Linked DNA regions of Daphnia pulex. Each later gene encodes a partner of the first gene's protein in a complex. Links are inferred from orthologs where the notes say so. Each region holds a gene or a part of one and is shown in the gene's direction. Other genes may lie near its edges.

Evidence for each region. The genes of interacting proteins can lie anywhere in the genome.
Region 2: mediator of RNA polymerase II transcription subunit 12-like (region 1) and cyclin-dependent kinase 8-like share a complex: the UniProt entries of both Drosophila melanogaster proteins name them as parts of the cdk8 module of the Mediator complex. The link is inferred for Daphnia pulex from reciprocal best matches to the Drosophila melanogaster genes kto and Cdk8.

Annotation. Positions count from the first base shown.
Region 1 is NC_060025.1:6,926,060-6,931,603, reverse strand, and holds the start of mediator of RNA polymerase II transcription subunit 12-like, read left to right. Parts: upstream 1-2,237; 5' UTR 2,238-2,399; coding exon 2,400-2,489; intron 2,490-2,626; coding exon 2,627-2,734; intron 2,735-2,819; coding exon 2,820-3,011; intron 3,012-3,074; coding exon 3,075-3,234; intron 3,235-3,297; coding exon 3,298-3,509; intron 3,510-3,565; coding exon 3,566-3,730; intron 3,731-3,800; coding exon 3,801-4,070; intron 4,071-4,160; coding exon 4,161-4,277; intron 4,278-4,345; coding exon 4,346-4,452; intron 4,453-4,518; coding exon 4,519-4,822; intron 4,823-4,883; coding exon 4,884-5,261; intron 5,262-5,392; coding exon 5,393-5,512; intron 5,513-5,544. Other genes in the region: metallo-beta-lactamase domain-containing protein 1-like, read right to left, coding at 148-340, 408-521, 618-830, 898-1,027; chromatin accessibility complex protein 1-like, read right to left, coding at 1,434-1,510, 1,572-1,692, 1,770-1,904. UniProt on the Drosophila melanogaster protein: Component of the Mediator complex, a coactivator involved in regulated gene transcription of nearly all RNA polymerase II-dependent genes.
Region 2 is NC_060023.1:3,949,205-3,954,936, reverse strand, and holds cyclin-dependent kinase 8-like, read left to right. Parts: upstream 1-2,116; 5' UTR 2,117-2,328; coding exon 2,329-2,489; intron 2,490-2,552; coding exon 2,553-2,739; intron 2,740-2,819; coding exon 2,820-2,960; intron 2,961-3,028; coding exon 3,029-3,218; intron 3,219-3,283; coding exon 3,284-3,398; intron 3,399-3,458; coding exon 3,459-3,557; intron 3,558-3,654; coding exon 3,655-3,727; intron 3,728-3,796; coding exon 3,797-3,894; intron 3,895-3,961; coding exon 3,962-4,046; intron 4,047-4,159; coding exon 4,160-4,633; 3' UTR 4,634-4,726; downstream 4,727-5,732. Other genes in the region: uncharacterized protein LOC124198281, read left to right, coding at 1-212, 272-512, 571-911, 984-1,745; protein disabled-like, read right to left, coding at 5,323-5,732. UniProt on the Drosophila melanogaster protein: Component of the Mediator complex, a coactivator involved in regulated gene transcription of nearly all RNA polymerase II-dependent genes.

The DNA of each region.
Region 1 (5,544 bases):
AAAATGCAAGACAAGTTTTAGGCCTTGGTACGTCGAAAAGTGTTACCAAATTCAAATTCTGATATTAATATCACAATCAAAACGGAAAAGCTACCTCTGTATAGTTTAAGAATCACTTTTAATAGGGATTTCAATCATTGGTTACACCTGCTCAAATTTTGTGACAATTTTTTCTTCATTCCATCAGTGACTTTAAAAATTGGACCATGGCCTGGGACAATGTAATCTGCAATATTTGCAATAACAGCTCGCGAATGTTCTTGCTGTTCAGGATTTACACTCCCGCAACTTCTCCATATCTCAGGTTGTTCAATGTCTTCTTCCCGTTCAAAAATATCACCTAATTAATAGACAAAATTGAAATAAAATGTCATTATTGATAACATATAGCTAGCAAGAAATTTTACCTGCAATGACTACTGTACCCATATCTTCAGTTTTAATAACAACACTGATATCATCTGCTGTGTGTCCAGGTGTAGGTATTACTGTAATACCCTCATCAATTTCAAATGGAAGACCTACAGCACATCATACATTTTGTATGTAAAAAAAATTAATGTTTGTTTGAAGCTAAAGTAATAAAGTACACAATTAAAGGAAACCACAGAATTTACCTTTATCAAAAGGATGTAAAAAATATTTGTCTTTAACAGAAATGCAATAGCCAACTATATGTTTAGCTTTCAGAAACAAATTGTTGTTGCCAGTGTGATCCGAATGACCATGAGTAGATATGACATAGTTGATGTCATCAGGGGTTAACCCATTCGCCTCTAAAGATAGTAAAATGAGATTGGTATCCCAAGGTGTCATTGTATCAACAATTACTGAAAAAATAATTTATTAACTGTTATCACGTTATTGCGAACATATTTGGATTGTGCTGTTTGTTACTATTTTTACTGCCGGTAACCAATACGCATGAGCAATTTGCACGGACGAAAGGAAGATTTTCGTCTTTTTCCTCAATTGTGGTAGAAGAATATCCAGTATGTATTACTGTAACACGGTTGGAGTTCGCCATCCTTTTAGAAATTAGAGTAGCCCTTCTAGTGTCAAAATGTCAAAAATCAAAATCAAATGTTTTGTTTTTTTAGACTGCTTTTTTCGCCATCTATGGGTGACACGCTGAACTTTGCCATTTTGCTTATTGCAGCAGCTGTGGTTTGAAAATAACGTACGCTAAATTGAGGGAGAAAAAAATACGGACACACCCGTTTAGGCTAACAAATGGTCACATAAAACCGCAATTAATTAATTACAACAGTACATTAACTGCAGTCTATTGAACCACCAAACTATCTTAGTTGATGTGAATCGTAAAGGAACAATGGGTTCAATCAATGTATTTGAAATTGAACTTTCCTTAGTGGAACACTTATAAATATGAGCAAGTAATGTTGAAGACAGAAATGAATTTGAATAAACACTCAAAACAAGTCACCATTTCCTTTTTCCTTCAGAATTTCTTGATATTCCTTGTATGTTATTTTCTTAGGAACCATATCTGAAAACACAATAATAATAATAAATTAAAATTTTACTAATACCATTTAGTAACACAGTACCTTTGAGAAACTGCATAGAATCACTTTTTTGAACAATGTCAGCTAGACCTTTGTAAGTAAGCTCATTTGACTTTTTGGTACTTTCATAAATCTCTTGGGCTAAATGTTCTACAAAAAACTCCTTAAAACATTGAAACATTTTAGATGAAGATGAGAAAAATAAGATGAAAAAATTATCTGGAAACAAACTAAAAATACCGTTGCTTTTGTTACAAAGTATAATGCGTCAGTGGATATGCTCTCAGTATCTGGGGAACTCTTCATAATCATTTTTACTCGTGCTTGTGGTAATATTATGGAGCCGTCTCCTAATTTCGGTTTAAAGGAAGACATTCTTAATTTAATTTCACTTGATTTAGTCCTTCACTTCAATCAATTCAGCAATTCCGCGCCACTACAATTTCTAACAAAATGCCAAAATAGAAATGTTCAAAATATAGTCTGCTGACTTTTACAGCACTGCCAAGATGTGATCAATGAAAATTGAAAATGCAAGGAGCATATTTTGTCATTAATTTGTTCATAATAAATTGATACCAATTGTATTAATAACTATTTCTAAATTCAGTTGCTAGACTACGATTAGTCCAAAATTCAAATACATTCATCTCCAATTATTCTTTATGTGTGCCGTAACAGCAAATTATAGAAATGCAACGTTGTAGCAAAGCCATCACACTGATATATCTGTCTGAACCATGGTCTGAAAATCGGAACTCTTGATAAGAATTTAGAAGTATTTGATTACTTGTGTACTTGTGTTGTGTAAACATTGATGTGTGGTAACAAATTTATACTTCTGCGTGGAAATTGATTTTAGAGCTAGTTATGGCTTGTTTATCAATGGAAAATCGTCCTCTTAAAAAATTGAGATTAGGACCGCCCGATGTTTACCCACAGGATCCCAAACAAAAAGAGGTAATATTTTGAATGTAGCTGCAGCTTTTTTATGAGCCCAAGTACGAAAATGCTAGTTGCCAAAAGGCAGTTTCATTTAAAAAAAAGGATAATTCTTTATGTTTTCCTTTCATTAACATTTGGAATACTATTTTTAGGATGAACTGACTCCTGTCAATGTGAAACAAGGATTTTCTCATACACCCAATCTTAATCAGTCTGAAGAGTATGGATCTGCTAAAAATCACAACTTTTCTTTATCAAAGGTAAACTACAATTTACTGTAATTAGTATGATGTTCATAGATTGTTCTAGGCTGACAACCATTTTATTATTCTTTCCTAATGTTAGGTCCAAACTTTTATTAATGGAGTGCTTACAAAAAAACAAGAAATCAACACATTGCCTGATACTGGCCGAAAACGCCAACTCATCAATCCCAAAGAAAATTTCCATAATGTTACTCCAAAGTCCAAGGCATTCATTGAGTCTTGGTTCAAAGACTTAGCAGGCAGCAAACCTTTGATGAATCTAGGAAAAAGAGTAATATTATACTCAGAATATCTTAAACAAATAAAAATACCAACTTTTGATTCCTTTTACAAGGTGCCAATATTCAACAAGAAGGAAGAAATATTTATCCAACTAAGTGAATATCAGGTTCCTATGTCTAGAGCAATATGGTTAATCAAGATGACATCTGCGTATTCAGTGGCTATTTCTGAAGCCAAAATGAAAAAGCGTCAAGTTCCAGATTCCTCTCAAGGTAGTTTCCAAGATTTAAATAATTTATTTTATCTGCAATTATAATCATTTTTTTGTTATATAGAGTGGACTAGTACATTGGTCCGGTTCATAAAGGAACAAATTGTGAAACTACAAGATTTCTATCAAAAATCCACAAATAGTGGAGGAACTTCTGCTGCATATGCTTCAAATGCTACTGCATATCATAATGGTAGCCCTTTGATGAGTGATGAACAGAAGCTTGCTCTTCGCCAATTTAATTATTGCCAGCAATTATGCAAAGTGATGTTTGAGGTATTGTGGAGATAAAATTTTATTTTTTCGTTTTTGCAATTTCATTTGTCTTTCAGGAGGGACTTCTTGAATGCCAAGATTTCTTACAATGGCAGTTGGACATGCTTGAAAAATGTAAAACTTGTGATGATGGTCTTCTCAAGTTTATTATTCCATTAATCTTGCAGTATGTAGATGAATTTACACAGTGTGAAATTCTGAGTCGAAAGCTTGTTTTTCAGGTAAGGTTGGATGACCAAGTTATATACAAATCTTGAAATAAATGTATTGTAATTGGTTTCGTTAAATCAGGTGTGTAGAAGAATTTCACCGCTTCTATCGAACGATCAAATCAGCGAAGGATCAGTTTCGTTAGATGTGGGAAATTGTGGGCAGCATAGGAGTGTTCTTCTTCAAATGTCTGCCATCATTCAAGCAGTCGTTCTTCATTGTCCGACGGCGTTAGTGTGGAACCATTCTGGAGAAGGAAAAATATCATCTCATTTGGTTGGATCCCCTTTAGATCATTTGCCTATTCCTCCGTCAGCATTACCTATGGCTCCTCGTTTTTCAAACGATCACGTAAGGACTTGTGACCTAAATTCTAGGATTACATTTTTCTTGTCACTATAACATGACAAACTTTAATCGTACTATATTCTTTTATTCTAGGTCCGTCAGATGCTTCGAGAAGCTGAGAATGCCATCAAACAGCGTAGTAAGGCTGCCGAATCACGATGGCCTTTAGATAAACTGATTCATCACTCCGAAATCAATTGTAGTGTTAAAGTAAGTCCAATTCTAGATATTGAAATAATTTTCATTTAAAATTTTAATGAGATGATTTCATCCAATAGCAGAAACAACAAAATCAGCCACAGACTGGGATTATAACAGCACGAGTGCTTCAGGCTCTCGAAGCATTGGATCTTCATAGTTTCGACCGTGTAGACTTGACCAACAGGTGAGACCACTTAATAGTCGTACCCTTACATCCTGTTTGTGACCTTTCAATCAATATTCATTTCAGTATCGATTCACTGTACGTCAAAATATTTCCGGCAATTGGGGGAAACAAAGGAAATGTTGATCCTGCAACTGTAGAGCAAATTGGCCAATTCGCCAAACAGGATGAACCGTTTGTTCGCCTGTTGTGTCAATGGGCAGTTAGTGATCAACGATATGGAGAACACCGCGCGATTGCAGCTGCTCTGCTTCTAGAAAAGAGACAAATGGATTTGGTGGCTTTAACAGAAAGTGATGCTGTTGGAGGCGAAGACAATGATACCGACGAAAATTTGGCTGCCGTTTCCGCCGTCCAACCCGTTTATCAGGTTTGCTTGATTGTTATTTTGGTTTTTCTTAATGTTTCTAAAATTAATGTTGATTTCTTAGGGATTTTTAATGAAATTTCTTGACTCCGAAGCACCAGTGCTCAATGAATCAAGTTCCGGGCACAACAATCGAACAGTTTTTGCGTCTTTGGTTCATTTATACTATGAACTCATCAAGCATGACGTGTTCTCTCATGACATGTACATGTGTACTTTGATTTCGCGAGGTGATCTTCTCTCAGTTACACCTGGCCATAGTGGAGCTACGGTTGCTCCGTCAAATTCGGGTCATTTTGCTGGCACTCCAAGCAGCGGAATGAGTAGTTTAACGGGATTCCAATGTATGAATGATTTACGCTGTGAAATGGATGACAGTAAAATAGACGACGATCTTGGGAAGTTGTTGCAACATATCAAAGAAGAACAACAAATTGTCATGGTTGGTATTTTTTCTTGTATTTATATTAGTGTAATCAAATTCCACTTTCGGCATTATTTACTAGCTATGATATTTAAAGAAGTATTTTTCAGAGGTTTTATTTGATGTTTGTTTTTATTACTTTCACTCAGGACACGCCTGATTCTCCCAAAGATGAAAGTCATAACACACTTGAAACTGGTCGAGGAGAGAAAGAGGGTAAACGTCAATCAAGACACCTCCTGTTTACCACTCATTTTCCTTTGCCTCAGGTAATATACATAATATTGATCTAAGAACTTGC
Region 2 (5,732 bases), on another chromosome or scaffold:
TTCAAGCTGGAGCTATAACGAAAGCAAGCGTATGTGATGGGTTTTCCACAAACAAAACGGTGTATTCCCATTTTGGTGTTTCTGGAACGGAAGATGGAGTTAATTCCATGTTACACCCTATGGATCCTTCAGTGAAAATTCATTGCCTCCACGATGTTCCTCATTTGTTGAAATGCACAAGAAACCATATGCTTGAACATAAATTAGTTCAGGTAACTTATTTTTCTTAATGTTGTTTTACTTAATTTGTAATTCTAAATATTATTTGTAGTTCCAGGGACACAACGTAAATTTTTATTCGTATGAACATCTACTGGAAGCCCAGAAAGGTTTGCAATTGATGTTATGCTGCCGATTAACTGAAGCGCACGTAAAACCAAACAATTTTCAAAAAATGAACGTCAGACTAGCTGCTCAAACATTTTCGGAACGAAATGCTCTTGCTTTTAAAATCTACCGTGAAATGCCAGCCTTTACTGCAAATGAAAAACGGCTGAAAAAGTTGTTTGAAGGTATTTTCCATAATTAATCAATCAATTTAAAATGCTATTGATTATTACATATTGTTAGGTACTGAACACATTGAGCGGCTTACAAAGACTGTGAATGACAATTTTGACGTACTCAACGGTAGACATATCAAAGAAGGAATCACTCCCAATAACTGGTGGATAAATGCACATGATGAAAAAGTGAAAGGCAGGAAACAAATACTTGAAGCCATGTTAGCAGTTCTAGCAGTAACTGAGAGGATTTATGAAAAGGACAAAAACCGAAAAATGTTTTGTTCCTTGACAACCGTACATGGATGGAGAATGACTATAAGAAGCGTTATTGCGTTAACTGAAGAAATGTTTAACGCAGGCTATACAGTAGTCCTCACTGGAAAAATGAATCAAGATCCAGTAGAGGTGAAACGAATTTTAATCGTGATTATCATTTCTATTGCAATTACTCAATAACTTTTTTTCTAATTCATACAGAGACTGTTCGGCATTGTACGTGGTGTTGATGCTCATCCCACGGTGACTTCTTTTCAACAAATCATTCGCTATGTGTCTCTTGGAGCAAGATTATCCACGATTATACAAGGAGCAAACGTTGACAATGTTGAGCAGATGAACATCCTAGTAACAATGTCAAAATGCCTTAAACGTCAAGCCAAGGAAAGTGACATTCGAGCTTCCGACCTGAGATCAGTATTAGAAGATAAACTACTGAAGGAAATAACAATTCGGTTTGTTGATAAAATTAACGAACCAGCGAATTCTAATTTCGTCAAAGATATTTTGATTTATGATTTGTGTGGTTATATGATTCACACAAGGAAGAGTATGTCAAAATGTCCTGACTGTTACAAATCCCTTCGCTGCGAGGAACTGGAGTTGCCAGAAGACTTCACTGCAGATCATTATACTCGAATGCGCAATAAGGGGTTTTTGATCTTTGTCACTGTAAATATGTTCCAAACATTCAGAGTGATAGAAAAGGTAATTGAGGGTCATTTTGAGCCAATTGGCCAAATGTATGAAGAGGAGTCATTTCAAGAGTGCATGGAGAAAATTTCAACTTGTCATTTGGTTCCCATTTTTTGTGACATTCATCGAGATGAAAAGTTACCTTACCTCATAAGAGAATATGTGGGAGTTAGATATTATTTTGAATCAAAAAGACTAAAAAATCTTTTGTTAGCTGAAGCTTCAGCAAATGTAAAAAAAAACAAAAAATTAGCAAAACTTGCGTAGGTACCTCTGTATTTATGAAACATTGTATGCAAGAAAATGATTCGTTTTAATAAATACCCATTTGTAACTACACTAGAATAAAATTCAAAGTAACTGAAAACTAAACATACCATGTCATTACATATTTTTTTTACACAAACAAACAATAAAATGTAAGAATGTGAGAACACTTAGAAAAATAGGACACTTATATATGACTTAGAGGTTTGACAGTTGGATACTTCTACCTTTTTATTATTGTTCACTTCTTGTAGAAAAGTAAGCTGTGATTGGTCAATGAGTTTTTCATAGACCCTTCCTGATTGGCTGGCTTCACGTAGTACCTGACACACTCACTAGAGGCGCTCATCAATTTTTCCAAATCGGACCACGGTTACCCTGAAACCGGGATAGGGAAGCCAACACGGCCGAGAACCGACCAGGTATCTATTGCTCTGCCTTTTATTTGAATTTTTAGTTTTTTCCGTCTGCTCTTCATTTCCTCCATCTGGCAAACGTCATTACAGTATAACAAACCAAAAATCGTCAACAAGAAAAAATATCAACATTACACAAATTGATTTGCATTCATGCAATAACTAGCATGGATTACGATTTTAAAGTTCGAACGAGCGTAGAACGTACCAAAGTAGAAGATCTGTTTGAATATGAAGGAAGGAAGATTGGTCGTGGTACTTACGGTCATGTGTATAAAGCGAAAAGAAAGGAAACATTCGCCACTTCGGATATTAATAAACTAATTAGGTTTGATATTCTCTAAGCACGAGAAATTGTGTAAGTTCAATATAATTATGTTTTATTTTATAGTGCTGACCAAAAGGAATATGCATTAAAGCAAATTGAAGGCACTGGTCTTTCCATGTCAGCTTGTCGTGAAATAGCCTTGCTCAGGGAGTTAAAGCATCCTAATGTGATCAATCTTCAACGAGTATTTCTTTCCCATACTGATCGCAAAGTTTGGCTTCTTTTTGATTATGCAGAACATGACTTATGGGTTTGTTAAAATCTTCCTTCTAAAGTTGTTTTGGTTCATGATCTTTTAACTTATTATATTTGTCACAAACCAAAATTTAGCACATCATTAAATTCCACAGAGCAGCCAAAGCAAATAAAAAGGCAGTTTACACTCCTAAAGCCATGGTAAAATCTTTGCTATATCAAATCTTGGATGGGATTCACTACTTGCATTCTAACTGGATCCTTCATCGTGATTTGGTATTGAGAATTATCTGCTTTTGTTAATATTTTCATCAACAAATAGATTTTTGCTTTCTTTTCCTTAGAAACCAGCCAACATCTTAGTCATGGGAGAAGGAATTGAAAGGGGAAGAGTTAAAATTGCCGACATGGGTTTTGCTCGTTTGTTTAATTCACCACTGAAACCTTTGGCTGATTTGGACCCTGTAGTTGTGACTTTCTGGTATCGAGCACCAGAACTGCTTTTAGGAGCTAGGCACTACACAAAAGCTATTGGTAAAACATTAGTAGTTTGTGTGGTGTTTCACAATTCTATATCATTGCTTTACAATTTATTTTAGATATTTGGGCTATTGGATGTATTTTTGCTGAACTACTAACATCAGAACCAATTTTTCATTGTCGTCAAGAAGACATTAAAACTTCCAATCCCTATCATCACGATCAACTCGATCGGTATGAAAATTTGCTCTTCGTGAGTGTCAGAAATGAATTATTTATTACATTTCCTTGTAGAATTTTCAACGTAATGGGATTTCCACATGACAAGGACTGGGAAGATATTAAAAAAATGCCTGAACATCCTACACTTCTCAAGGATTTTAAACGTAACAAGTAAGTGTTTATTTCCATTTGTTTGTTTACTTCTTAATATTAACTCCATGTTCAAAATGCATCTTTTGTTTATTTTTTTTTTATTTTTTTCTTTTAGCTATCAAACATGTTCCTTGATGAAGTATATGGACCGGTATAAAATTAAAGCCGATACTAAAGCTTTTCATTTGGTAATCGATATTTAAAATTAAAAGTTGCGTTTTTTTCTCTCCTTTTTTGACTGATTAATTTGCTTCAAGCTTTCCAAACTTTTAATGATGGATCCTACTAAAAGATTCACCTCAGAATCTGCCATGGCTGATCCTTACTTTCAGGAAGATCCTTTACCTACTTCAGAGTAAACTTAAAATAAGAATCATAATGTAATATAAGAATCAGTTTTGATCAGATTTGTGTTTCATTAGCGTATTTGCTGGTTGTCCTATTCCGTACCCGAAGCGAGAATTTTTGAGTGACGAAGAGCAAGATGACAAATCTGATAGCAGCAAGGTAATAATAAATTGTTCTTTTGATTTTATTTTATCTAGTCTTTTTCGTCTCCCTTGTTTTGGTTTTCTTTCATTTGCGTTTTATTTGGCATTTGGGTACACTTTTGAATTCAGATGATTGCTAAGAATCCACAGGGTCAGAATACTGCAGCGAATGCCCCCAATGACCAGTCTCATGGTCCTAATGCAAAACGAGTACGGTTGGCTCCCCCACATCCTGGAAACAATGTTGGTGGATCCAACATGTCAGGAGGCCCACCAGATTTCCATGGTCAACATGTTGGACAGCAACCCCATGTACAGCAGCATCCTTCTGCACAGCAACAACAACAACAGCAGCAGCAGCAACAACAACAGCAACAACAGCAGCAGCAACAACAACAACAGCAGCAGCAGCAGCAACAACAGCAACAGCAACATGCTTCACAATCGGGTAATTCTAATCATGGCCATGGCCATCACCCTCAGCATCCGTCACAACAAGGCAACATGCAAGGAGGTATGCATCCGAACTATTCCAATCATCCTGGCCATCCTCAACAACAGTCGCATCCTCAGCAAAACAACTCATTTAATCAAAGATTCTGATGCTCTTTTCATCTATTACTAGCAACTTATTGTATTTTGTCTTCATTTTGAATTCGTAAAATAAAATAAAATGCGTACATTTTCATACTAAAACGTTTAATAATGCATTACCGCTGGAAATGAAAAAGGTACATAGAATAAAAGATACACGATGGATCGTGTTTTGATTCCAGGAATCAAAGGAAAATTGCTGTAAACTATGATCATGTTTGACGAAGGGAGTAACTGCCAAATAGCGAAAACAAGTGGAGGCTGTGTATGGGTACTTGGGTAGAGCAAAAAAAAGCGAGAAAAAGAAACAATATTGAGTCCTTGATTCATGTTCAGCAAAAAAAATTAAAAAAATTAAAAGAAGGGTAAAATGGTAAGTGGCTACGAAACGAAAATACAATCACAAATAAAAAATAAGATGACTAGCCCGTCACATTTTCTATGCCAATTGACATCATTTGGCATCAACAAAGATGCACCAAGAGATTTGGTGAACTATTATTCTGCCACACTTTCAGGTCCACTTTCCATGACTGGTCATAAATACAGATATGACAGAAAATGTTACTTGGATGCTTTCTTTTTTGTTATTGTTGGGGACAGGGGATGGCAGAAACGACAAAGAAATTTTTAGCGCAAGAGAAAAGATAGTACGTCAATCCGCAATAGACAAGGTTCCGACTTTTTAAATGATAGTTTTAAAGAGTAAATTCATCGTCAACGTCATCAAATTGAATGTTATCGTCGAAGGGTTGAACCCACGCAAAAGGGTCTTCGACGATCGTATTAAAAACATGAACAGATGGTTGTTTAACCATTTGAGAATTAGAAGGTGCAGGGGAAGAAGCTTTAGCTGGAGGCAGATCCGGTTGGAAGAAGTCGTCATCAAAGGGATCGTCTACTCGTGAAAAGATGTTTACTGATGTCGATTTCTTGACCAACTGATCTCCTTTGGTCTTTAGCTGATGATCCGGATCCTTAGCCTCACTAAAAGCTGAACTAAAATCGACAGCAAACGAATCTGAAACGGGTGGAATATTTGGTTCGGTAACCATTTTATCTGAGGAAAGGTCAAAATCTGCAAACGAATCACCAAATCCTTCAACTG